Linked DNA regions of Kluyveromyces lactis. The protein of the gene in region 6 purifies or fractionates together with the protein of the main gene of each other region. This does not show direct contact. Links are inferred from orthologs where the notes say so. Each region holds a gene or a part of one and is shown on either strand. Other genes may lie near its edges. The genes, in order: RPN6, RPN13, RPN2, RPN8, RPN7, NAS6 and RPT2.

The links.
Region 1: the proteins of NAS6 (region 6) and RPN6 purify together in Saccharomyces cerevisiae (affinity purification with mass spectrometry; 4 studies listed by BioGRID, with this or other methods). This does not show direct contact. The link is inferred for Kluyveromyces lactis from reciprocal best matches to the Saccharomyces cerevisiae genes NAS6 and RPN6.
Region 2: the proteins of NAS6 (region 6) and RPN13 purify together in Saccharomyces cerevisiae (affinity purification with mass spectrometry; 3 studies listed by BioGRID, with this or other methods). This does not show direct contact. The link is inferred for Kluyveromyces lactis from reciprocal best matches to the Saccharomyces cerevisiae genes NAS6 and RPN13.
Region 3: the proteins of NAS6 (region 6) and RPN2 purify together in Saccharomyces cerevisiae (affinity purification with mass spectrometry; 5 studies listed by BioGRID, with this or other methods). This does not show direct contact. The link is inferred for Kluyveromyces lactis from reciprocal best matches to the Saccharomyces cerevisiae genes NAS6 and RPN2.
Region 4: the proteins of NAS6 (region 6) and RPN8 purify together in Saccharomyces cerevisiae (affinity purification with mass spectrometry; 5 studies listed by BioGRID, with this or other methods). This does not show direct contact. The link is inferred for Kluyveromyces lactis from reciprocal best matches to the Saccharomyces cerevisiae genes NAS6 and RPN8.
Region 5: the proteins of NAS6 (region 6) and RPN7 purify together in Saccharomyces cerevisiae (affinity purification with mass spectrometry; 3 studies listed by BioGRID, with this or other methods). This does not show direct contact. The link is inferred for Kluyveromyces lactis from reciprocal best matches to the Saccharomyces cerevisiae genes NAS6 and RPN7.
Region 7: the proteins of NAS6 (region 6) and RPT2 purify together in Saccharomyces cerevisiae (affinity purification with mass spectrometry; 3 studies listed by BioGRID, with this or other methods). This does not show direct contact. The link is inferred for Kluyveromyces lactis from reciprocal best matches to the Saccharomyces cerevisiae genes NAS6 and RPT2.

Annotation. Positions count from the first base shown.
Region 1 is NC_006041.1:136,878-139,974, reverse strand, and holds RPN6 (proteasome regulatory particle lid subunit RPN6), read right to left. Parts: upstream 1,779-3,097; coding exon 501-1,778; downstream 1-500. Other genes in the region: TPP1 (polynucleotide 3'-phosphatase), read left to right, coding at 1-407; dolichyl-phosphate-mannose-protein mannosyltransferase PMT1, read left to right, coding at 2,768-3,097. UniProt on the Saccharomyces cerevisiae protein: Component of the lid subcomplex of the 26S proteasome, a multiprotein complex involved in the ATP-dependent degradation of ubiquitinated proteins. In the complex, RPN6 is required for proteasome assembly.
Region 2 is NC_006040.1:245,012-247,446, reverse strand, and holds RPN13 (proteasome regulatory particle lid subunit RPN13), read right to left. Parts: upstream 1,122-2,435; coding exon 501-1,121; downstream 1-500. Other genes in the region: KLLA0_D02904g (uncharacterized protein), read right to left, coding at 1-270; guanine nucleotide exchange factor DCK1, read left to right, coding at 1,428-2,435. UniProt on the Saccharomyces cerevisiae protein: Component of the 19S cap proteasome complex which acts as a regulatory subunit of the 26S proteasome, involved in the ATP-dependent degradation of ubiquitinated proteins.
Region 3 is NC_006039.1:807,379-811,372, reverse strand, and holds the start of RPN2 (proteasome regulatory particle base subunit RPN2), read left to right. Parts: upstream 1-1,194; coding exon 1,195-3,994. Other genes in the region: KLLA0_C09306g (uncharacterized protein), read left to right, coding at 1-789. UniProt on the Saccharomyces cerevisiae protein: Acts as a regulatory subunit of the 26S proteasome which is involved in the ATP-dependent degradation of ubiquitinated proteins.
Region 4 is NC_006039.1:826,610-829,610, reverse strand, and holds RPN8 (proteasome regulatory particle lid subunit RPN8), read right to left. Parts: upstream 1,503-3,001; coding exon 501-1,502; downstream 1-500. Other genes in the region: COX10 (protoheme IX farnesyltransferase), read right to left, coding at 1-85; GTPase GPN2, read left to right, coding at 1,961-3,001. UniProt on the Saccharomyces cerevisiae protein: Acts as a regulatory subunit of the 26S proteasome which is involved in the ATP-dependent degradation of ubiquitinated proteins.
Region 5 is NC_006040.1:1,236,818-1,239,916, forward strand, and holds RPN7 (proteasome regulatory particle lid subunit RPN7), read left to right. Parts: upstream 1-1,372; coding exon 1,373-2,599; downstream 2,600-3,099. Other genes in the region: ERP4 (Erp4p), read left to right, coding at 435-1,061. UniProt on the Saccharomyces cerevisiae protein: Component of the 19S cap proteasome complex which acts as a regulatory subunit of the 26S proteasome, involved in the ATP-dependent degradation of ubiquitinated proteins.
Region 6 is NC_006041.1:1,406,002-1,408,370, reverse strand, and holds NAS6 (Nas6p), read left to right. Parts: upstream 1-1,176; coding exon 1,177-1,869; downstream 1,870-2,369. Other genes in the region: prohibitin subunit PHB2, read right to left, coding at 1-578; PHO81 (Pho81p), read right to left, coding at 1,985-2,369. UniProt on the Saccharomyces cerevisiae protein: Acts as a chaperone during the assembly of the 26S proteasome, specifically of the 19S regulatory complex (RC) and appears to have an overlapping role with RPN14.
Region 7 is NC_006042.1:1,360,731-1,363,768, forward strand, and holds RPT2 (proteasome regulatory particle base subunit RPT2), read left to right. Parts: upstream 1-1,233; coding exon 1,234-2,538; downstream 2,539-3,038. Other genes in the region: RTG1 (Rtg1p), read right to left, coding at 286-906. UniProt on the Saccharomyces cerevisiae protein: The 26S proteasome is involved in the ATP-dependent degradation of ubiquitinated proteins. The regulatory (or ATPase) complex confers ATP dependency and substrate specificity to the 26S complex. Has ATPase activity.

The DNA.
Region 1 (3,097 bases), about 1.3 Mb from region 6:
TTGATAAAATTTGCAAAGTATTGAAATACATATCGGAAAACGATTCTCAACTGTGTGATCGTATTTGGATTTACTGTGCTACTAAAAAACCAGCTTCCCTTTTTGGTGGCAGCAAAGCCGCCAGCACTGCTCACGCAAATAAAGTTGTTAAGAACATTATTTCTGGCCAGAAGAAAAGAATAAACGGGACAATGGTAACACCTGAAATGTTTGATAATGTGAGAAAACCCAATCGTGGTTTGTTTGATGAATTTCTTAAAGATTCTGACGAACAATCGGACTCAATTGAACTTTTATTTTACTGCGGGGATGCTGCAGGAAGACCAAATGATTTTAGTGACAGTGACAAAGAGTTTGCTAAAATATTGGGCGTACCTTTCAAGGTACCGGAGGAATACTTTATTTGAATTTCGAATGATCTTAAACCTACGTAAAATATATTTATTTACTAAGTTACTTTAATGATTGAAGGATGAGCGTATTATAATGAATTTTTAATTTTAGTATAATACAGCGGCTTTTTCAAAGAGTTGTTCTACAACTCCATTGAGTTGATTGATCAATTCTAACGAAGAATCATAAGTGGCATCCTGTTGTGGTGTCTCATAAATATAAAGCCATCCGTTTCCTTGGTCAAGCACACCAAAGAAAACTTTGTCTAAAATCATTTGTGAAAGTTTGCCCTCTACTTGTTGAGCATCAAGCCCGATAATCTTTGAGATATGCGATACTTCAACACATTCGAATGGTTCGATGATCTTACTAAGATTTGATTCCAAAAGGGTGTCGTATAATGCATTGAAATGTGATCTAATGAGTTCATCGCCCATCAATTCTGTCTTATAATTTTGCATTGCTGTATTGAACTCCAGTAGGGATCTATTATTATAAGCCTCAGCGACTGCCTTCATGGCGTCAATTCCGCGACTTTGGTAGGTCTCCTTAGTATATTTGGCGTTCAAGATAGTTTTCACTTCATCAATCAAATTAAGCATGATCTTTGAAAGAAGCATATACTTTAGCACTTGACAAGCTTTTCCGAATGTGTTTGAGCCAGTTTGGCTGTGGAAGGCTTCAAAGGATTCATAAAAGTATGAGAAAGCAGTCTTATAATCTTTGTCTTCACAGTGTAAGATACCACTCATTAAATCCAATTCTGCCATTGTCAATGTTGGACAATAAATCGAATTTGCGGATGTTCTAGCACTTGTCAAAGCAGCCTTTGATTTAGTCAAATTTCTTAATTTATGGTACACTTTACATTCCAATAGATGAACTTCGAGCAAAGACGATTTATCGTCCAATTTCTTAAACTGCCTCAACAAATCATTGATCAATTGCAAGGATTCGTTGTAATGCGTCTTTTGGTAGTAAAGAGTTGCCAACCTAATCGATAGAGAATGCTTTAAAAAGATTCTCTTCTCCTTTGTGGCAAAGTCGATCGAATCTTCGCATATCTCGATTTGGGTATCCAAGGAATCGGGTATCAATTCGAAATCGTTAAGTAACGTCTTTAAAACTTTGGCAATCTTTGATTTCGCTACTTTCATCATGTATTCACGAGAGCGTGGTACAAACTCGGCGAGTTTCTTCAACTGATGTGTGGTACCATACAATTGACCTAGCTCAAGAATACATTGTTCCTTTTCTTGAGCATCTTTATTGCTAATTGATTGGGGTTGTGCGGCATCTTGATGGTTCAATACTGCTAAGAACTGCGCTTCAGCCTTCTCATAATCTTCCTTCCCTACAAGATTTCTAGCTTCTTCCAACGACATATCTAAGTGGGATTATTTGCTTTCTTTCCTGTTCCTTTCGTAGTTTAACTTCAGCTTCTGCTAGACGATCTCTGGCAGGTGTAGCGCCAATTGTGTCTACCTCGATGTTTTCGGTTTGCCACCTTATTTAATTTACTTTAACTATAATCTCTTGGACAAGATTATATATATCATTCTACTACAGAAACTGGTTCAATTCAAGGCGATCATTTGGTACGTAACTTGAATAAGGGTAGACTATTCACGTGACTTATACGTCACGTGAATCGAAATTAGATTTCCTTTACTGTCCTAATCTTAGCACAGATACATCCGCACGAAAAAAAGGAAAAATAGTCGCGTTTCGTCCTCCGTGATGTGTTTACCATTCCTCGAGAATAGCACGTGAAAGACCCTTCACTGCATTCACTTCAGCCAATCTTTAAACTCCTCACTCTCATCTGCCGCATATGCTGATCGGTACTGGTAATCCACATCCTCAGGTTCATTGTCTCTCACATGTTCTGCAGCAATTACACACCTGTAACTCATAATTTTCACCTCAAACACCTAAAATCACCTATTTGTAGATATCTGAAAGAAAAAAAACTTAATTTCACTGAAAGCTCGGTATGGGTAAATATTATATAAATATATTTGAAATAATAGTATGGATGAAATTAAACAGAGACGTGTTCATTTTGGCAAGTTTTGGGTGGAATAAACTTAGGTTTTCTTTTGCAGATAGAGGTATCAGTCGACCAGTATCTGTGGGAAACTTAGATAGGAGCTAGACAATTTCAATTGGGACCTTTGAACTGGAATTGAATTTTTGAATTGGTTTTTTTTTGTTCTCTCTTCTCAAACATTTAGTTACCATTTCCAAGGCTTTTTCGAAGTGAGAAAACATCTGTTGTCTGTATCTGTATCTGATCTGATCTGATCATTGATTGTATTTCTCATTGTAAAGGTATCTCAGTCTCACTCTCTGTTTGATTTTGTTGTAGAAAATGGGTAAGACTAAGACCTCTACTAAAGTACAAGATTGTGTTCTCGATGTTGATAGCGTTGGTGACATTCAAGTTGAGAAAGGTCCATTGAGACCTTTCTTGGTCACTGAGCCACCAAAGAATTTGAAATCTATCCGTACGATGACTTCTAGTAAAGAACGTTTGGTTGTTATTGCATTGGCTGTTATCGCATCCGTTGTGAGACTTTGGAACCTTTCGGATCCAAATTCCGTTGTTTTCGATGAAGTTCATTTCGGTAAATTCGCAGCTAAATACATTAAGGGTATCTTCTTTACCGACGTCCATCCTCCGTTAGCTAAGATGCTTTTT
Region 2 (2,435 bases), on a different chromosome or scaffold from region 6:
TTCCTGGAGGCCCTTATTTCTAAGTCCTTCCAGTAGAGCTCGTGGTCCTTCTCCGGTATACGAATATCCAAACATTTGTGAGAGTTGTTGTCCCGAATAGCTCTGCTTCGTAGCTAAGTCCAAAATGTCAACTGCTTGCTGAAAGAATGGACCTCTTACACATTTCAAAAGGTTTTCTTTTCCCTTTTCGACATCCTCAGGCAAACAGTTACATAATTCTTTGAATTCGGTAGACTCCTCAGAAAGAGATCCAATATACTTCACTAACATATCTTTAGTTAGGAAATCAGAAAGATGGTTTATACGGATGGTACTAGGACATAGTATTAGTAAAATATAGTTTAATTTGGTAATGATAAAATCGTAATGATTTGGAAATAACAGATCTGAAAAGAAGGAGAGTTGGACGTTGAAAATGCCTATCAAATCTCAAATACTGTTTACAGTTCCTTATTTTTGATCTATTGCTTCAAAATGAGTAATGTACAACGCGTATATACTTACGGATTGGAGTCGGCCTTCGGCTGTTCATTGTCTTGAGGGTCAATTTCCATCTTTTCCGGTTCTTGTTCTTGTTCTTGTTCTTTGACTTCCTCTTCCTCTTCCTCTTCCTCTTCAAATTCCAACAGTTTCTGAAGCTTAGCAAGTAACTCTTTATCCTTTTCACTCCATTCGTTCAACGATTCATTGCCTTGGTGCTTTTCTTGTAACCAGAAAAACCATTTCTCACCAGTAGAGAAGAGTAAACATAACACTCTGCCGTTCTTAGCTGACTTTATATCGATCCATTTCGTCTCTCCGGGAATCAAAATAAACTCAATTGGTTCCACTGCTGACCCTGAGACTCGATCCTTAGTGCTCCATTGGAAATCGAAAAACCCTTGCGCTTCTTCACTGGGTTTGATCTGGATCTCCCCCTTCATCTGCTTCGGCGTACAAATTTTACTCTCCTCATCATAATCACATTTTCCTGCCCTAAAACTGATCGCCTCTGTCATATCAATATTCTTCTCTCCTCTTTTAAACCTATACCACTGGTCTGACAATCTCTCAGATGTTCTATGATTGATATCTTCGTGTGTGTAGGTCCTATTTAAACAGTTTGCCACTGCTGACGCCATTTGTTCATATTTTCCTTAAAAGAATAATGTTGTAGGCTTAATCATGTGACCAAGATATGGTAGTATTTTTCTATGAAAAATTTCTTATGAAACCGCTTGGAAAGACTAAGATGGTAGAAATCATCACATCATGAACGGATATTTAATTCAGAACTAAGTGAATGCACATTGGGTTGGACTTGTACAACATCATTAACACCGATCAGTGAATGCACTCGGAATTCTAGATACAATTGGCTAGTTTTCGGATATCTCTTGCAACTATTTTCGTCACAACTATTGATTTAGTGGTGGTTTTTTGTACGAATGACGAAATCGAATAATGATGCTACTGCCAATGGTAGTAGCGACACACCTGCAAACCACACGGAACTGAGACAGTTCGAATGGATCCCCACTGATAGATTGATTCCAGGGACTGTTGCCCGAGCGTTTCTTCCATTAAAGAAGTGTCCAGAGCTAGTATTGAAATCATCGGATTATGTTGATCTGTATCCTGGCGATGAAGTTTTTGTTATGGAACAGACCAAGGATGGAAAATGGTGCCGTGGTTATGTTAGCAATGATTTAATGCCAATCGACTTCATGAGCAATATGGGATCTGTTACTGACAATTTACCGAAACAGAAAATTCAACGAGTGATTTTCCCCAGACGATTTGTTCATTTGGATTTTGACGAGCAGATCGAGAACTATGCATTCTTGAGGTTCCCCACTGGTACTGAATTAGAGCAACAGGATGGTCGACTCAAAAAACTACCGAGTTTGTATCAATTAATGCGTGCTTCGAAAGTTTCAAGAGAAACTCCACCTCCATATCCATTTTTCGTTGCAAACGGATATGCGCTAAATCGTGAAATCTTGTTAAATTTATTCACATTAACAAAACATATTTATTATCTTTACTCATTTGGTGAGTTTGAAATCGTGGATCAGATGGTCGACTTATACTACAAGTTAGATGCAGTCAGAATTCAACTTCAAGCAAATTTTATGGCCACTAACGAAAGATCATTGATCATGAAAAAGGCTACTGCCTTGATGAGCATATTTTCAAAGTTCATCGCATCACATTCAGTGACGAAAAAAATCGGCTCATTGCAGAAAAGGAACAGGATTGATCCGTTCGGGTTCGAGTCAATCTTGACTCGCGACCAGGCTACAGGTAAGCTTTTGACGGATTCTGTATCTCCTCAATTAATGGCCACAAGTACGTCGTTATATGCCATGACAACAAATTATCCAGTCTCCAATGCAAACGATTTAAAATTGAAGCCGGACGAAAATACCAAATTTAAATCGTTCCCACCTTCA
Region 3 (3,994 bases), on a different chromosome or scaffold from region 6:
CATATTGGTTCTCAATTATCTGTTTTGGCTGAAGCTCTTGGTATGAACGTTCTCTACTATGATATTGTCACTATTATGAGTTTGGGTACTGCTAAGCAGGTTTCTACTTTGAATGAATTGTTGAACAATTCTGACTTTGTGACTTGTCATGTTCCAGCTACTCCAGAAACTAAAAACTTATTGTCTGGTCCTCAATTTGCTGCTATGAAGGATGGCTCATACGTTATCAACGCATCTAGAGGGACTGTGGTTGATATTCCTGCTTTGATTCAAGCAATGAGAGCGGGCAAGATTGCCGGTGCCGCTTTGGATGTGTATCCAAATGAACCTGCTAAGAATGGTGCTGGTGCCTTCAGTGATAATTTGAACACATGGACAACTGATTTGGTCTCCTTACCAAATGTTATCTTGACTCCACACATTGGTGGGTCTACTGAAGAAGCCCAAAGTTCTATTGGTATCGAAGTGGCTACTGCACTAACGAAATACATCAACGAAGGTAACACCGTCGGTGCCGTTAACTTCCCAGAAGTTTCATTAAGAGCATTAGATCTGGATCAAGAAAACACTGTACGTGTACTATATATCCATCAAAATGTTCCTGGTGTTTTGAAAACTGTCAACAACATCTTGTCCAACCACAACATCGAAAAGCAGTTCTCTGATTCTAACGGGGACATCGCATATTTGATGGCTGATATTTCAAATGTTAACCAAAGTGATATCAAACAAATATACGATGAGTTGAACGAAACTGACTACAAGATTTCAATCAGATTACTATATTAAAATGCTATGTTAGAATACTAATTCAACTTAGTTGCTTTTCACTTCAATTATAATATCGGTATAGATAAAGGATAGAACGTATAATTATATATTGTATGCATGATAATAGTGCTTCTCGATTTTGTAAATGGTGCAATATTGATCAACTGGACAACTGCGACTATCTTGCAAAGCACATTTCCTGATGGAGGTGGAGAGCATATTCTTGAAGAGGCTCTATAAAATCATTCTATACGATTAGGGTAGTTTTTGTATGGTTTCTGATTTAATTTGACAAACGGTGGCAAACTTTAGAACAGAAGCTTCAAAAGTATATAAATAAAGTCATTTACTATTCGCACCACATCTGCACATTACCAGGTTACATCGAGACTTAAGGTATTTAAAGCCGTAAACTCAACCAGAATGTCAGTTACATCTGCATTGCCGCTTTTGGCGTTATTGAAGGAATCTGACAACACTGTTAAGACTCATGCATTACAATCAATTAAAGACGTGGTAGATCAACAGTGGTCCGAGATATCAAATGATATTACCGAAATAGAAGCATTGTATGATGATGTATCCTTTCCTGATCGTAGACTAGCAGCAATTGTGGCCTCAAAAGTGTATTATAACCTTGGAGAATATCAACTAGCGGTTAAGTATGCCCTAGCTGCAGGAGAGTATTTGAATATCGATGAACAGTCGCAATATGTCGAAACGATTGTGTCACAGAGTATCGAAATGTATATTGAATTTGCTTCTAGTAACTACGAATCGGAACCTGTTGAAATTGATCCACATTTGGTTTCTATCTTTGAGAGAATGTTGAAGAAGTGTGTTTCTTCAGGGGAGTATAAACTTGCATTGGGAATCGCATTAGAAAGTTACAGACTTGATGTTGTTGAGAAGCTTCTCACTTCCCAGGACACCAGTACTAATGCCCTCAAATTGTGCTCTTACACATTGGCTGTATGTACCACTGCATTAACCAATACTCGCTTTAAATTGAGCGTATTGAAGAAGTTGTATGAAATTGTCATGAACATGCCTGCCCCAGACTACTTTATTATCTCAAAAATTATCGTACAGTTAAATGATATCGAATTTGCCAAGGAGCTCTTCTTCAAGTTAAATTCAACTAAATCATATGATGTTTCCTACCAAATCGCTTTTGACCTAGTAAACTCAGCCTCTCAGGGATTATTGAAGGATCTTTCTAATTCCTTGGACGCCAATGTATACGATCCTAAGTTACTTGAAATCCTTTCCGGTATACCCACCTGCGATTTGCAAAACACTTTTCTATTTGAGAACAAAACCATAGACAAGGCTCTTCTGAATAAGATGAAATCATCTTTGGATGGTAAATTCTCCTTATTCCACACAGCTGTGAGTGTGTCCAATGCTTTTATGCACGCAGGGACTACGGATGATAGTTTTATCAGACAAAATTTACAATGGTTAGGCAAAGCCCAAAACTGGGCCAAATTTACCGCTACTGCTTCACTAGGTGTTATTCACCAAGGCAACCTCTCAGATGGAAGAAAGATAATGGAGCCTTATTTGCCAGGAAATGGTTCAAAATCGAGGTATATCAAAGGTGGTTCATTATATGGTCTAGGTTTAATTTTTGCCGGCTACGGTAAGGAATCAACTGACTACTTAAAAGAGCAAATTCAAGCTAATAGTTCTTCCGTTGGAGAAGAGGATGTAGATGTGTTGCTACATGGTGCTTGTTTAGGTATTGGGTTGTCAGGTATGGGCTCGGACGATGTGAATGTTTGTGAGATGTTGAAAGAAGTGTTATATGGAGACTCAGCTAAATCTGGTGATGCGGCTGCTTTGGCTATTGGTTTAATTTTACTAGGTTCAGGTAACCAAACTGTTATTCAGGACTTGTTAACTTACGCAGAAGAGACTCAACACGGTAATATCACAAGAAGTTTATCGATTGCCTTAGCTCTCATAAATTACGGCAAAGAGGAACTAGCTGACGACTTGATTGATAAGTTACTAGCCAGTGAGAACGCCCTGTTACGCTATGGTGGTGCCTACACAATCGCCTTAGCCCATGCAGGGACCGGAAATAATAAGGCTGTGAAAAAACTTCTTCACGTCGCAGTCTCGGACTCCGACGACGATGTTAGAAGGGCAGCAGTCACTGCCCTAGGTTTCGTGTTAATTCGTGAATATACTACCGTCCCAAGAATCGTAGAACTTTTGTCAAAATCACATAACGCTCATGTCCGTTGTGGTACTGCGTTCGCTTTGGGTGTATCCTGCGCTGGTAGAGGCTTACAGGCAGCTGTGGATGTATTAGAACCTCTTTTGAAGGATCCAGTTGATTATGTTCGTCAAGCTGCTATGATTGCCACTTCAATGATATTGATTCAGCAGACTGAAAAAACGAATTCAAAGGTGAAGGAAGTTAATGAACAGTTCATGTCAGTAATTGGAAACAAGCACCAGGAAGGACTAGCAAAGTTCGGTGCCTGTATTGCCCAAGGTATCATGAACGCTGGTGGTAGGAATGTAACCATCGAATTGGAGAACACCGAAATGGGAACTTTGAACAGTAGATCAATAATTGGTTTAATGATGTTCTCCCAATTTTGGTACTGGTTCCCATTGTCCCACTTTTTATCGCTTTCGTTCACTCCAACTACCTTAGTGGGTTTGCGTGCTAGCGATTTGGCAATTCCTAAATTTGCTTTCAAATGTCATACGAAGGAGGGAATTTTCACCTATCCTCGCATGTACGAAGAAGAGGTGGACAAAAATATAGAAAAGTTTGCAGCTGCCGTCTTGTCAACTACCGCCAAGGCCAAGGCAAGAGCTAAGAAAGGTAAAAAAGGAGAACATGAAAAGGTTAAAGAAAAGGATGCAGAAAAAGTAAATGAAGAAAAGCAAGAGGTGGAACTGGAGGAAAAAAAGAAGGAAGAGGCCAAGAATACTGAAGAAGCTAAGATCAAATACACGACAACGAGCTATGATGTTGAAAACCTCACCCGTGTGCTTCCGCAGCAACTCAAATTCATATCTTTTGCGAAAGATAGCCGTTTTGTACCTGTTCGCAAATTCAGAGGAAACTCAGGTGTCATTATCGTTGAGGATAAGACACCTGAAGAACCACTAGAATTAATCAAGACCGTAAGACAAACAAAAGATATATATGCCCCATTACCATCTTCATTTAAAGTCGAGGATTCTCTTGAATTTT
Region 4 (3,001 bases), on a different chromosome or scaffold from region 6:
AACTAAACCCACGCCCCGATATTAAAATACTGGATAAGTTGGGGTTCAATGCCCTCATAAGTAGAGGCTGGATTACCAGTGACATACTCAATCTTCAACTAGCAGTTGATGGAATATATTATCTTGGTTAACTGGGCCTCGGTCTGGTAAATACACTGTTGTCTCAGAATGGTTTTTACCTTCAAAATTGTGCGCAATGAACAATTTCCTCGATCTTTAATCTTCATAAAATTTTCTTATATGAAGAGATGCGAATTTGATATATTAGAAGGAATCAATCTGAAGAGGTTGACGAGAACTAACGAACCGGTACCGGAGATCCATTTAATTCATTGATCAGTTCCATATCGATGCCAATGGTGCTGATCTTAGATATAGACATACATACTGCTTCATTTAAATTCTCATTAAATTTTTAGGAAATATGGCGTAGTTGTAACTTAGTATACAGAAAATACTATATTTGATTATTTTCGTTTCGGTTTATTAAAAGAGTTGCATCAGTTCTTAGTAGGTACCGAATTCGACTCAGCAGGGATGCCGTCATTAGTGGCATCCTCCTTTTGTTCTACTTCAACTTTCGAATGCTTTTCAAGAAGTTTCTTATTTTGAATTTTGTTCTCAATCAAGTTATCAAATGCAACTATGGCTCTGACCAGATTACTTATGTAAATGATCATTAGTTCGTCATTGGTTTTAACTGTGAGGGCTTTTTCCAAATTGTTGGTAACATTGTCTAAGACATGACTTGAGCCGATCATTTCATCTTTATCTGGGGTTCCGAGGTTTGGAAGAAGATTGAAAATGTCTTGCAATTTTCCTAAAATTATGTGGTTCACAGGTAACTCGTTGTTTGCCACTTTTTCCAAGTATGCTACTATGTCTTTCAATTTTCTTTGCAAGCCCCTAAGAGAATTTAATTGATTAGTTAGCTTTATAGATAAACCAGCTGCAGCTTGATCACGGACATCTTTGAGTAGATGTTCAACACCAATTTCTTCCGCCTCGTCTGCTTCCACAGTGCTTGGGATATGTATAAAGGTCCGCTCAGTCGAAGTACCATCATCCTTGATCTGTTCCACAGCCACATATGCGTTCGTTGGTAGTCCGATATCCTCTTGTTTCACATCGAGTATCAACAACACGGGATTATTGTTGGTACTGTACTTCTTGAACAACTCGTTAATCTTTAAATCAGAAGCCCTTAATTTCCCACCACTGTGATACCAACCAATTAGCTTCTCTTTCGCATTGATCTTTTTACACATCTCGTTCATGGTCTCGATGTAGTTGTGATCTAGGAACCAAACGTCTGGATTCTTCTCGTCTTCTTCGAACGGCAACGCAAACGAATTAGTTATCCTCACGGTTGCCGTGGAACTATCACCTAGAATGACACCTAAACATCTCTTGTTCTCCGGAGTATTTGTACGCTGATGATGGTCTAATACGGAAAGTAACACCAATGGTGCAACTGAAACTTGTTCGTAAGGTACAGACATTATCAATTGGTTGTTGCCAAGCTGTTTCCAATTTATAGTTTGATTTCTATTCTCTTAGCTTATCAGAAATGCAGATTGACTAAGCACTTTTTTTGACTCTCTTTTATAAGTAAACCCCAAAACGCTAGATTGGTCACGGTAATTCAATTAGTACAATCTCAAAGTATTATCACAGTTTCGCTTTCAGGAGTGTATAGATCTTCAAGTGCCCCATTATTTCAGGTATTTTTGTCAAATTAATATTTGCCACTAATGTTCTTAATGCTATTTCATTTTTTTTATTTTCAAATCTCGAAATATTAGGAACTGCGAAGCGAACATAATTCAATGCTTAATATTAAAAAGATTCTGTGCAATGAGATGAGATGAAAGGACATGTTTATACGGTTAGGGAGGAGACAAGACGGCTTACGGTTTGTACGAAGACCTTGGGTATACTCTAGAAAATAAATATAAAGATGCCATTTGGCCAAATTGTGATTGGACCTCCAGGGTCTGGTAAATCAACGTACTGTCATGGTTGTTCCCAGTTTTTCAATGCAATCGGAAGACATGTTCAAGTGATAAATATGGATCCAGCCAACCATCGGCTCCCGTATCCGTGTTCGGTCGATATTAGAGACTATATCACGCTAGAAGAGATTATGTCAGAACAGCATTTGGGTCCGAATGGTGGGTTAATGTATGCGATAGAGTCTTTAAATGAGTCGATCGATTTGTTCATATTGCAGATCAAATCGTTAGTACAAGAGGAGAAAGCATACCTAGTCTTTGACTGTCCCGGGCAAGTCGAATTATTCACACACAATTCGGCGTTGTTCAAGATTTTCAAACGACTAGAGAAGGATTTGGATATCAGGCTATGTGTTGTGAATTTGATCGATTGTATTTACATTACTTCTCCCTCGCAGTACGTTTCGATCCTTCTACTTGCACTAAGATCGATGCTAATGATGGATCTTCCACACATCAATGTCTTCTCAAAGATCGATATGCTAAAGGGATACGGAGAGTTGCCTTTCAGATTGGATTACTTCACGGAGGTCCAAGAATTGGAATATCTAAATCCACTTATTGAGAAGGAAGGGTCGGGTGTATTAGGGAGAAAATACTCAAGGCTCACTGAAACCATCGGTGAAATGGTCTCTGATTTCAATTTAGTTTCTTTCGAGGTCCTTGCCATTGATGACAAACAATCGATGATCAATTTACAAAGTGTTATAGATAAAGCGAACGGATACATATTTGGTTCGAGCGAAATAGGAGGAGATACAGTATGGGCAGAAGCTAGTAGACAAGGCGCAGCCATGGTCAACTACGACGTTCATGATAGATGGATCGAAAATAAAGAGACGTATGATAAACTAGAAAAGGAAGCACGTGACCAGCAGCTCAAAGAAAGGGAAATGCAAGCAAAAGAGATCGACGTCAACGAAGACGACGAATGGGAATCGGCGCTCAGGGAATGGGAAGAAAAACAAGGCACCAACTATGTTAGG
Region 5 (3,099 bases), on a different chromosome or scaffold from region 6:
GGTGAGTGTAGCAGATACTAATTGGCTAGTAGTAGAAGGAAAAAAAAATCAAAATTGGGGCGAGCTGGGAATTGAACCCAGGGCCTCTCGCATGCTTTGCAGTAGTTAAACTTCGTTTATCGAAGCTTCGCTAGGCTATTAACCCAAAGCGAGAATCATACCACTAGACCACACGCCCTATATAATTTTGATGTTCCTTTCTTTGACAACTTTGCCACCATACAATAGAGCATCCACACACGTGACTGACAAAAAACACGATCCCACCCTCAAACACTAAAAAAAAAAACTCGAATTTGTTCAGTGTTAACTCGTCGAAATAAAACACGTCTCTTCTTTGAATCAAAATTGGTTATCTGTTTACCTTTATGCTACTTAAGACCACTATATATCGCTATTACCAAGTCAATTGAGCGAGGAACGAGGATATAATAATGCTATACTCTATTGTTTCAGTTCTATTGGTGTTTATCAGTGGATTCTGTGCGGCAGAATCCAGTAACTATGCACCATTTGCGATTTCATTACCTGCATTCTCAAAAGAATGTTTATACCATGACTTGATGTCTGCTGACGACGCCTTAGTGGTAGGTTACCAAGTGTTGACTGGTGGCAACTTTGAAATCGATTTCGAAATCACTTCCCCAGATGGATCCGTCATTATCTCGGAGAAACAAAAGAAATACTCTGATTTCCTATTGAAATCGTTTGGTATCGGTCAATACAAGTTCTGTTTCACAAACACTCACGGTACTGCGCTGAAGAAAGTTGAACTTACGTTAGAATTGGAAAAGAGGACTATGGGGTCCGAGAAGGAGAATCCAGAGGATGTGATCACGAACAATGCAATCGAAGAGATCGACAGAAACTTGAACAAGATCAGAAAGATGATGGACTACCTGAGAGCCAGAGAATGGAGAAATATGTCGACTGTGCAATCTACAGAGTCCCGTATTGTATGGCTATCCATTTTGACAATGGGTATCATGGCCAGTATCAGTACTTTACAAGCTACCGTCGTCCATTTCATGTTCAAAGATCGTCAAAGAAACTATGTTTAAAGGAAAGAAGGCGTGTTTTCAAGAGACCGCTTCATATAAGTATGTACATATGCGTGGATAGAAATACGTAGTACAGCGTACATTGCACAATGACATCTTAAGGTTACTGGATCCTGTGAGGAAAGGCTCACAGGCTTTCGGTATATGTGTGAATATCCGGGTAAGTAATTCGTTAACAAATTGTAAGAACTAAGACTTAAACACATCTAATATAGGAAGAACACAATCATTTGCCACCATCAAACAGAGGGGAACAAGGCATCAAAAGCTGCTTTAGCGTACCAGGGAAGTTACAATTCGAAACAAACGTTATGTCTGAAGATACTGAAGTTCAATACGTGGATCCTAGTGTGAATCGTGTGCCAAATTACGAGGCATCCGATCATGCTTTTGTCCTTGGACAAGGGAATCTCTCTCATCTACATGAAGCCTCAAGGGATGCTTTGTTGAAACTGATCAGAGAAGATCATATGGCTCCATATTATAAACATGTGTGCGAAGAGTTACCCTCGGGAGCCATTGAGTGGGATCAATCCTTTTACGATTCGTTAGTGGCGAAGAACGAAGAAGAGATTAAGAAGTTAAAGGATCATTTAACTGAAATTGAAGAGAAAGACGAAGGTGAGTTGGAGAAGGCTCAATCCTGGATCAATTTAGGTGAGTATTATGCAAAGATTGGTGATAAAGACAACGCCGAGGAAACGTTGACCAAGGCCTTGGATAAAGCTGTGTCTACTGGTGCCAAGATCGATATCATGTTAACTATAACCAGACTTGGATTCTTCTACAACGATCAGCATTACGTGAAGCAGAAGCTAGAAGGAGTCAATGCGATGATTGAGAAAGGTGGTGATTGGGAAAGAAGAAATAGATACAAGACTTATAAGGGGATCCATTCGATGGCCATCAGAGATTTCAAGACCGCTGCGTCCTTACTAGTCGAATCGTTAGCCACTTTCACTTCTACCGAGCTTACCTCGTATGAGAACATCGCTACCTACGCGTTCGTTACTGGGTTATTTGCATTTGAAAGGACTGATTTGAAGGAAAAGATTATCGATTCGCCTGACTTGCTAGCGTTGATGACAACGACGCCAGCGTTACAATCCATATCCTCCCTTTCCATTTCACTTTACACTTCCGAATATAAAAGTTATTTCCCATATTTGTTAGAGACCTACGACAAAGTGCTATTGCCCTCCAAATATTTGAACCAACACGCCGATTATTTTGTAAGGGAAATGAGAAGAATGGTTTACGCTCAACTATTGGAATCTTACAAGACGCTCTCGATAAAATCGATGGCTGGTGCATTCGGCGTCTCTGAAGATTTCTTAGACAAAGATCTAAGCAAATTCATACCAACGAAACAACTCAACTGTGTCATCGACCGTGTCAACGGTATAGTAGAGACAAATCGGCCAGATAACAAGAACGCTCAATACCAACTTCTCGTAAAACAGGGTGATGGATTGATTACAAAACTACAAAAGTATGGTGCGGCTGTTAAGCTTACAGGCACCGATCGTATAATATAGTGGTAGTAGTAGCAGTATAGTAATTATACAGAGTATATAGCTCGAACAAGTATTATTTCGATGCGATGATAAAACCAACGATAGGGTCGAGACACTAATCTTTTGCTTTGTAATGAGAAACCGAAAAAGAATGCGCCTCAAAGACTCTTAGGGCTACCCTCATTTTAGACCTCTTCACCTTACAATTCTCAGTATCGCTATACCGGATTCTGATCGCCAGTTACGTCTTTTGCTATGGGCTGGAAATGGATATTTAACGTTGTCTTCTTTAACGGGTTCATAGGAAGTTCCGTAAAGGTTTTGCTTTAATAGCAAAGCAAATAGCAAAACAACCAAGAAAAGTGCACAGAGGTCGCAGCGCTACCCAACAGAGGCCGAGTGTAAGGATTTAGTACGATACACTACGAGAAAATAAGGGTAGTATGTGTTAACGACGCAAACGAACAGAGGAGAGAGGAGACTACTACTTCCTGGATTACTTCCTGATGGAGTTACCGGAT
Region 6 (2,369 bases):
AAATGCTTAGCACGACGCACCAAGTTTTCCCTAATCAATCTAGAGACACGTTCTCTTTGGGTAATCAATTGAGAAGCATTAAATTGGGCAACCACCGCCTTCAAAACTTCATTCACGATACTGGGAAGCACTCTTTCATCGTAATCAACACCGAGAGTACGGTAAATCATTGGTAAATTCTCTACGTTAGGTCTGGATAGCACTCTACAGGTGATGTTAACCATCTGTAAATCCTTAGTACCGGTCAATGACGATACATTTCTTGGCTTGGCACGCACATCGTAGACGACCGGGTTTTCAACCCATGGAATGATAAAATGAGTACCTTCTGGGTAAATTCTCGGTTGAACACCGTTGATACGTGAATAAACAATGGCACGGTGACCACCATCAACGTTGAAAAGAGCTTCGTTAGCCAAAAATCCACCACCAATCAACAAAAATAAACCACCTAAAGCCCCAAAGGCACCACGAGGAGGCTGTCCGGAAGGATATTTACCACCTGATTGTTGTGCACGAGCCAATTGTCTTTGTACAGATCTGGCAAACTTACCAAAATCACCTGGATATCTGTTCATTGCGTTCTTTTGATTAAATTATAATAACTTTGCGGGGGGTAAAAACACAGCTTTTGTTTCAAATTTACAGCCAATCAGAAAAGGGCAATGTGCGGTTATATATATAATATTACTGCTGCGATTGTCGTAACCTCCTAGTTCCTTTGCTTGAACCCTTTCCCTTTAAGCAATTTCAAACAACGAACTGAGTTGCTCATTTCTCACTTTGCCACTTAACATCTGAGAAGGGGCGACATCCCCGAAAATATGTTTGTCACAATGCACGGATCACGTGATAAAACATCAACACTCTAGCCTCTGCTCATGGTGGTATAGCCAGGCACCGGGAAGTTGAATGTTATCTGAGACCCATAAGTATCCTATTTAGTACTTAAAACCTGTCAGCTTTCCAAATGTGTACCCAGATTTCGTCCAGGTGTACCAAGTCTTTCCACTGCCGTTTCTTATTTCTTTGATATGAGGTAAAAACCCTTTAAAAAGGGTTTCAACTTAAAGACAGCTTATTTCATACAAGCGTTGGTTGGTCAGAACCATACAAGAGCTGTCCTGGGATCAGTGTATTTGTAAAACATTGAAAGCACAATAAACAATTCAAACTATGGGTGCTGACTTTTTGTTACATGCTGCGTGTATGAACGGAGATACCGAAAAGGTTCAACAGATATTAAGTGAGTTTCCGGGCGCAGTGAAGGTTAAAGATGATGATGGCCGATATCCTTTGCACTGGGCAGTATCATTCCAGCAAGACAACATAATTGATATATTGTTGTCCTATATGAAGAAAATTGATTTGGACACTATTTTGGATGAATCTGGTTGGTCTCCGGTACACATTGCTAGTTCTATCGGTAGCGTTACTATTCTTGAAAAGTTACTTAATCATACTGTTGAACCAAACCTTGATCTACAGGCTAATAATGGGATCACTGCTTTACATTTAGCTTGCTCTAAGAAGCATTTAAATGTGGTTCAACTTTTAGTGGAAAGAGGAGCTTCAGTGAGAATTAAAGATGGCCTTGGTCAATTGCCTTTGCATAGAGCTGCAGCTTCCGGTTCAGTGGGAATTGTGTCGATATTATGCGATAAAAACTCTCCTGTTAATATAAAGGATAAAAACGGATGGTCTCCTTTGTTCCATGCTTTGGCAGAAGGTCACGGCGATGTTGCTGTCACGTTGGTCAACAAGTATCATGCATTATGGGAAGGAGAAACCGACAACGATGACTTGTCCATAGATAAAATCTGTGTTGACGCAAAAGTGAAGGATTACTTTTTGTCAAAGGTTGAATGATTTATCCAATTCGAAGGGGCTGGTAGTTAATGTATGCTTATATACCTGAAACAGTCATTAAATTGAGCTTATAACGATTGATGTGTAGAAGATTCTAAAAAAACAAAATGCAAGATTAAATAAAATTGGCTTCCCTATCAGCAGTTTCGGAGTTTTCATGGATGACCAATTCTTCCTTATATTGAATACCATTAATACCAAGGTCACGTTGTTCATGTTCACTGATTGTTCCATTGGTAGAACCAATCAAAAATAAACCATGGCCAAGAACTTGATCAACCAACTGTAGGGTTATATCCAACAAATTTATAGGAAGGATCATTCCCAACAAGTTATTGTTGTTAGCAAAAATAACAGCATCCTTTATGGACATGGTACCTGGGTCACCATAAATAATGTCTTTAGTATCGAGTGCCATGGACGCTAGGTCATTAGATGTAATTTTCACCAAATCACCATCACTATTCTCGGAAATAACATTCATATCGAACAACACAGGG
Region 7 (3,038 bases), on a different chromosome or scaffold from region 6:
AGAGAGAAACAACGCCTCTTCTACCACCTCTTGTACCTAGAATTCAACAATCAAGGATGCGCACGGATCCAAATGTCTGAAACTGTCGCCGGATAAGTCTGCTGGTCGTCACTACCCGGTATAATTAGGTGGTTGCCATGTTCTTTTCAAATATGTCTTCGGGGTTTTAGTTTGTTTCGTGTTTTCGCTTTAGAAAAAATTCGAAGCTGGACCATGTTTTCTTCGTCAGTTGTGATAGTATCACGTGACTTAATCATGACACGTGACTTGGTTCTTTATTGTATTTCAGGGTTCATTGTTGTATTCACTATAACCACCGTATTCGAATCTATACTTGGGTCCTTCTTTTGGCGCTGCTGCTGCTATACCTGCTGGACCAACCGAACCTGTTGGCGGCACAGGTGACATGGCAGCGGTGCCAGGGGTTTTACTAGTGGTATTTCCTGCGGCAGCATCAATGCTGGCTCCGGCACTGGTACCGGCAAATTGGTTTTTAGATCCTTTGTTGTTCGGTTGCTCCCTCATGCCAGCTAACGGACCAACGCCGATTCTGGACAACGCTAACTCCGCGCTTGTGTTATCAAGGTTCAAATCGTTGACAATGTACCCTGTTTCCTTGCACAATTCTTTAACTCTTAGTATCAGCTCGACTTCTTCTCTGTTCTTGAGATCGACTTGTTCCTGTAACGAATTCACGTATTCTACCGCCTGCGTTAGAATTTGTCCCTTTGTGGGCTTGTTAGCATTTGCACTGGTCCCCTTGGATTTAGAAACCGGTTCGTCTTTGATCTTAGGATCGCTGTTCTTTCTATAATACTCTTCGAAAAATTCTTCAGGAATAATACTCAAAAATTGTTGGATTAGTTCATTGATATTACCACGCTTGGCACCATCGTCATCATTCATGGTTAAAATTAGTAAGATAGAGACTTATACCGATGGTAAGATGCAGTATTGATGCTACTTTCCTTCACCTTTTTCTTGCCAACTCACAGCATTCAAACTGTTTTCATCTGTTATTATTTCATTTTATATCAAAAGTCAGGATTTGGAATAACTAAATATTAGAAAAGCCAGTGGCGAAATTAAAGATCAACCTTTACAAGATACACGCCTAACAGCACAACATTAGGTATATCAGCTTGTTACCGTCCAATTATCGAGTTGCATTGAGGCACGAACTATTAGCTGGCAGTAAGGCATCAAGGTATAAGTTAAGTTACAGCACGAACAATGGGTCAAGGAGCTTCTTCTCATGGGCAGAAGAAAAAGGATAAGAAACAAAAGCCAAAATATGAGCCACCAGTAGAATCAAAATTCGGTAGAAAGAAGAGAAAGGGGCCCTCTACGGTGGAGAAACTTCCTAGCGTTTATCCAAGCACAAGATGTAAGTTAAAACTTTTGAGAATGGAACGTATAAAAGATCATTTGCTATTGGAAGAAGAGTATGTGACAAACTCTGAGATCTTGAAACCATTTGAGAAGAAACAAGAGGAAGAAAAGAAGCAGCTAGACGATATCAGAGGTACTCCGTTATCTATTGGTACTTTAGAAGAAATTGTGGACGATGACCATGCTATAGTGACAAGCCCTACGACACCAGACTACTACGTTTCCATTTTGTCCTTTGTTGACAAAGAGCTATTAGAACCCGGCTGTTCTGTGTTATTACACCATAAGACCATGTCAGTTGTTGGTGTCTTGCAAGACGATGCCGATCCAATGGTTTCTGTGATGAAGATGGATAAATCACCAACAGAAAACTACAGTGATATCGGTGGATTAGAGGCACAAATTCAAGAGATTAAAGAAGCAGTCGAGTTGCCACTAACGCATCCTGAACTATACGAAGAAATGGGTATCAAACCACCAAAGGGTGTCATATTGTATGGTGCTCCAGGTACAGGTAAGACGTTATTGGCAAAGGCTGTGGCGAACCAGACTTCTGCTACATTTTTAAGAATTGTGGGATCCGAATTGATTCAGAAATATCTAGGTGACGGTCCAAGACTCTGTAGACAAATTTTCAAAGTCGCTGCAGAGAATGCGCCAAGTATAGTCTTTATCGATGAAATCGATGCTATTGGTACCAAGAGATATGAATCAAACAGTGGCGGTGAGAAAGAGATTCAAAGAACTATGTTGGAACTTTTAAACCAATTGGACGGGTTTGATGATAGAGGTGATGTGAAAGTCATCATGGCTACAAACAAAATCGAAAGTTTAGATCCAGCTTTGATCAGACCCGGAAGAATCGACCGTAAGATTTTGTTCGAAAACCCCGATATAACAACAAAGAGAAAAATCGTCGGTATTCATACATCTAAGATGAACTTAGCAGAGGACGTAGACCTAGATAATTTGGTCACTTCAAAAGATGACCTATCAGGTGCAGACATCAAAGCAATGTGTACAGAAGCGGGGCTTTTGGCTCTAAGAGAAAGAAGAATGCAAGTCACAGCACAAGATTTCAAGGAAGCAAAAGAACGTGTACTCAAAAATAAGGTTGAAGAAAACTTGGAAGGTTTGTACTTATAAGTAGGGATTAATCTTCATATATATATATATATATATATATATATATACTACAGTTTAATATCTTTAATATCTTCACATATCCAAATTCAATCTCCCTGCCGCCAACATTTATGCAATGATTTATCAATCTAAGTTTGTATTTTTAACCTTTTACACTTTCACAACTTTTCGGGCAGATAGAGGGAAACGATAAATATAGAAATTACGAAAAGTTGAACTTTAAATGTTTTAAAGATTGAAAGGACAACAGTATAATGAGATGAGTAGAAATAAACTGCAAACTAACAAGAGCCTTGCAGTATATACGAGGTGAAGAAACCTGTGACTTGTGATTGCGAGAGAAAGCACAATTAGTTATTGTCAATTTTTTTCCTTATCTCGTTTCTAACAACTGCATTATTGATTGGAATTTTTTTGATAAAAGTTCAATTAGTTCATATTTAAGGACTGACAAAACTTTGTGGTCTTTTCAAGGAGCTATATAACTGGATAAGTTCCAT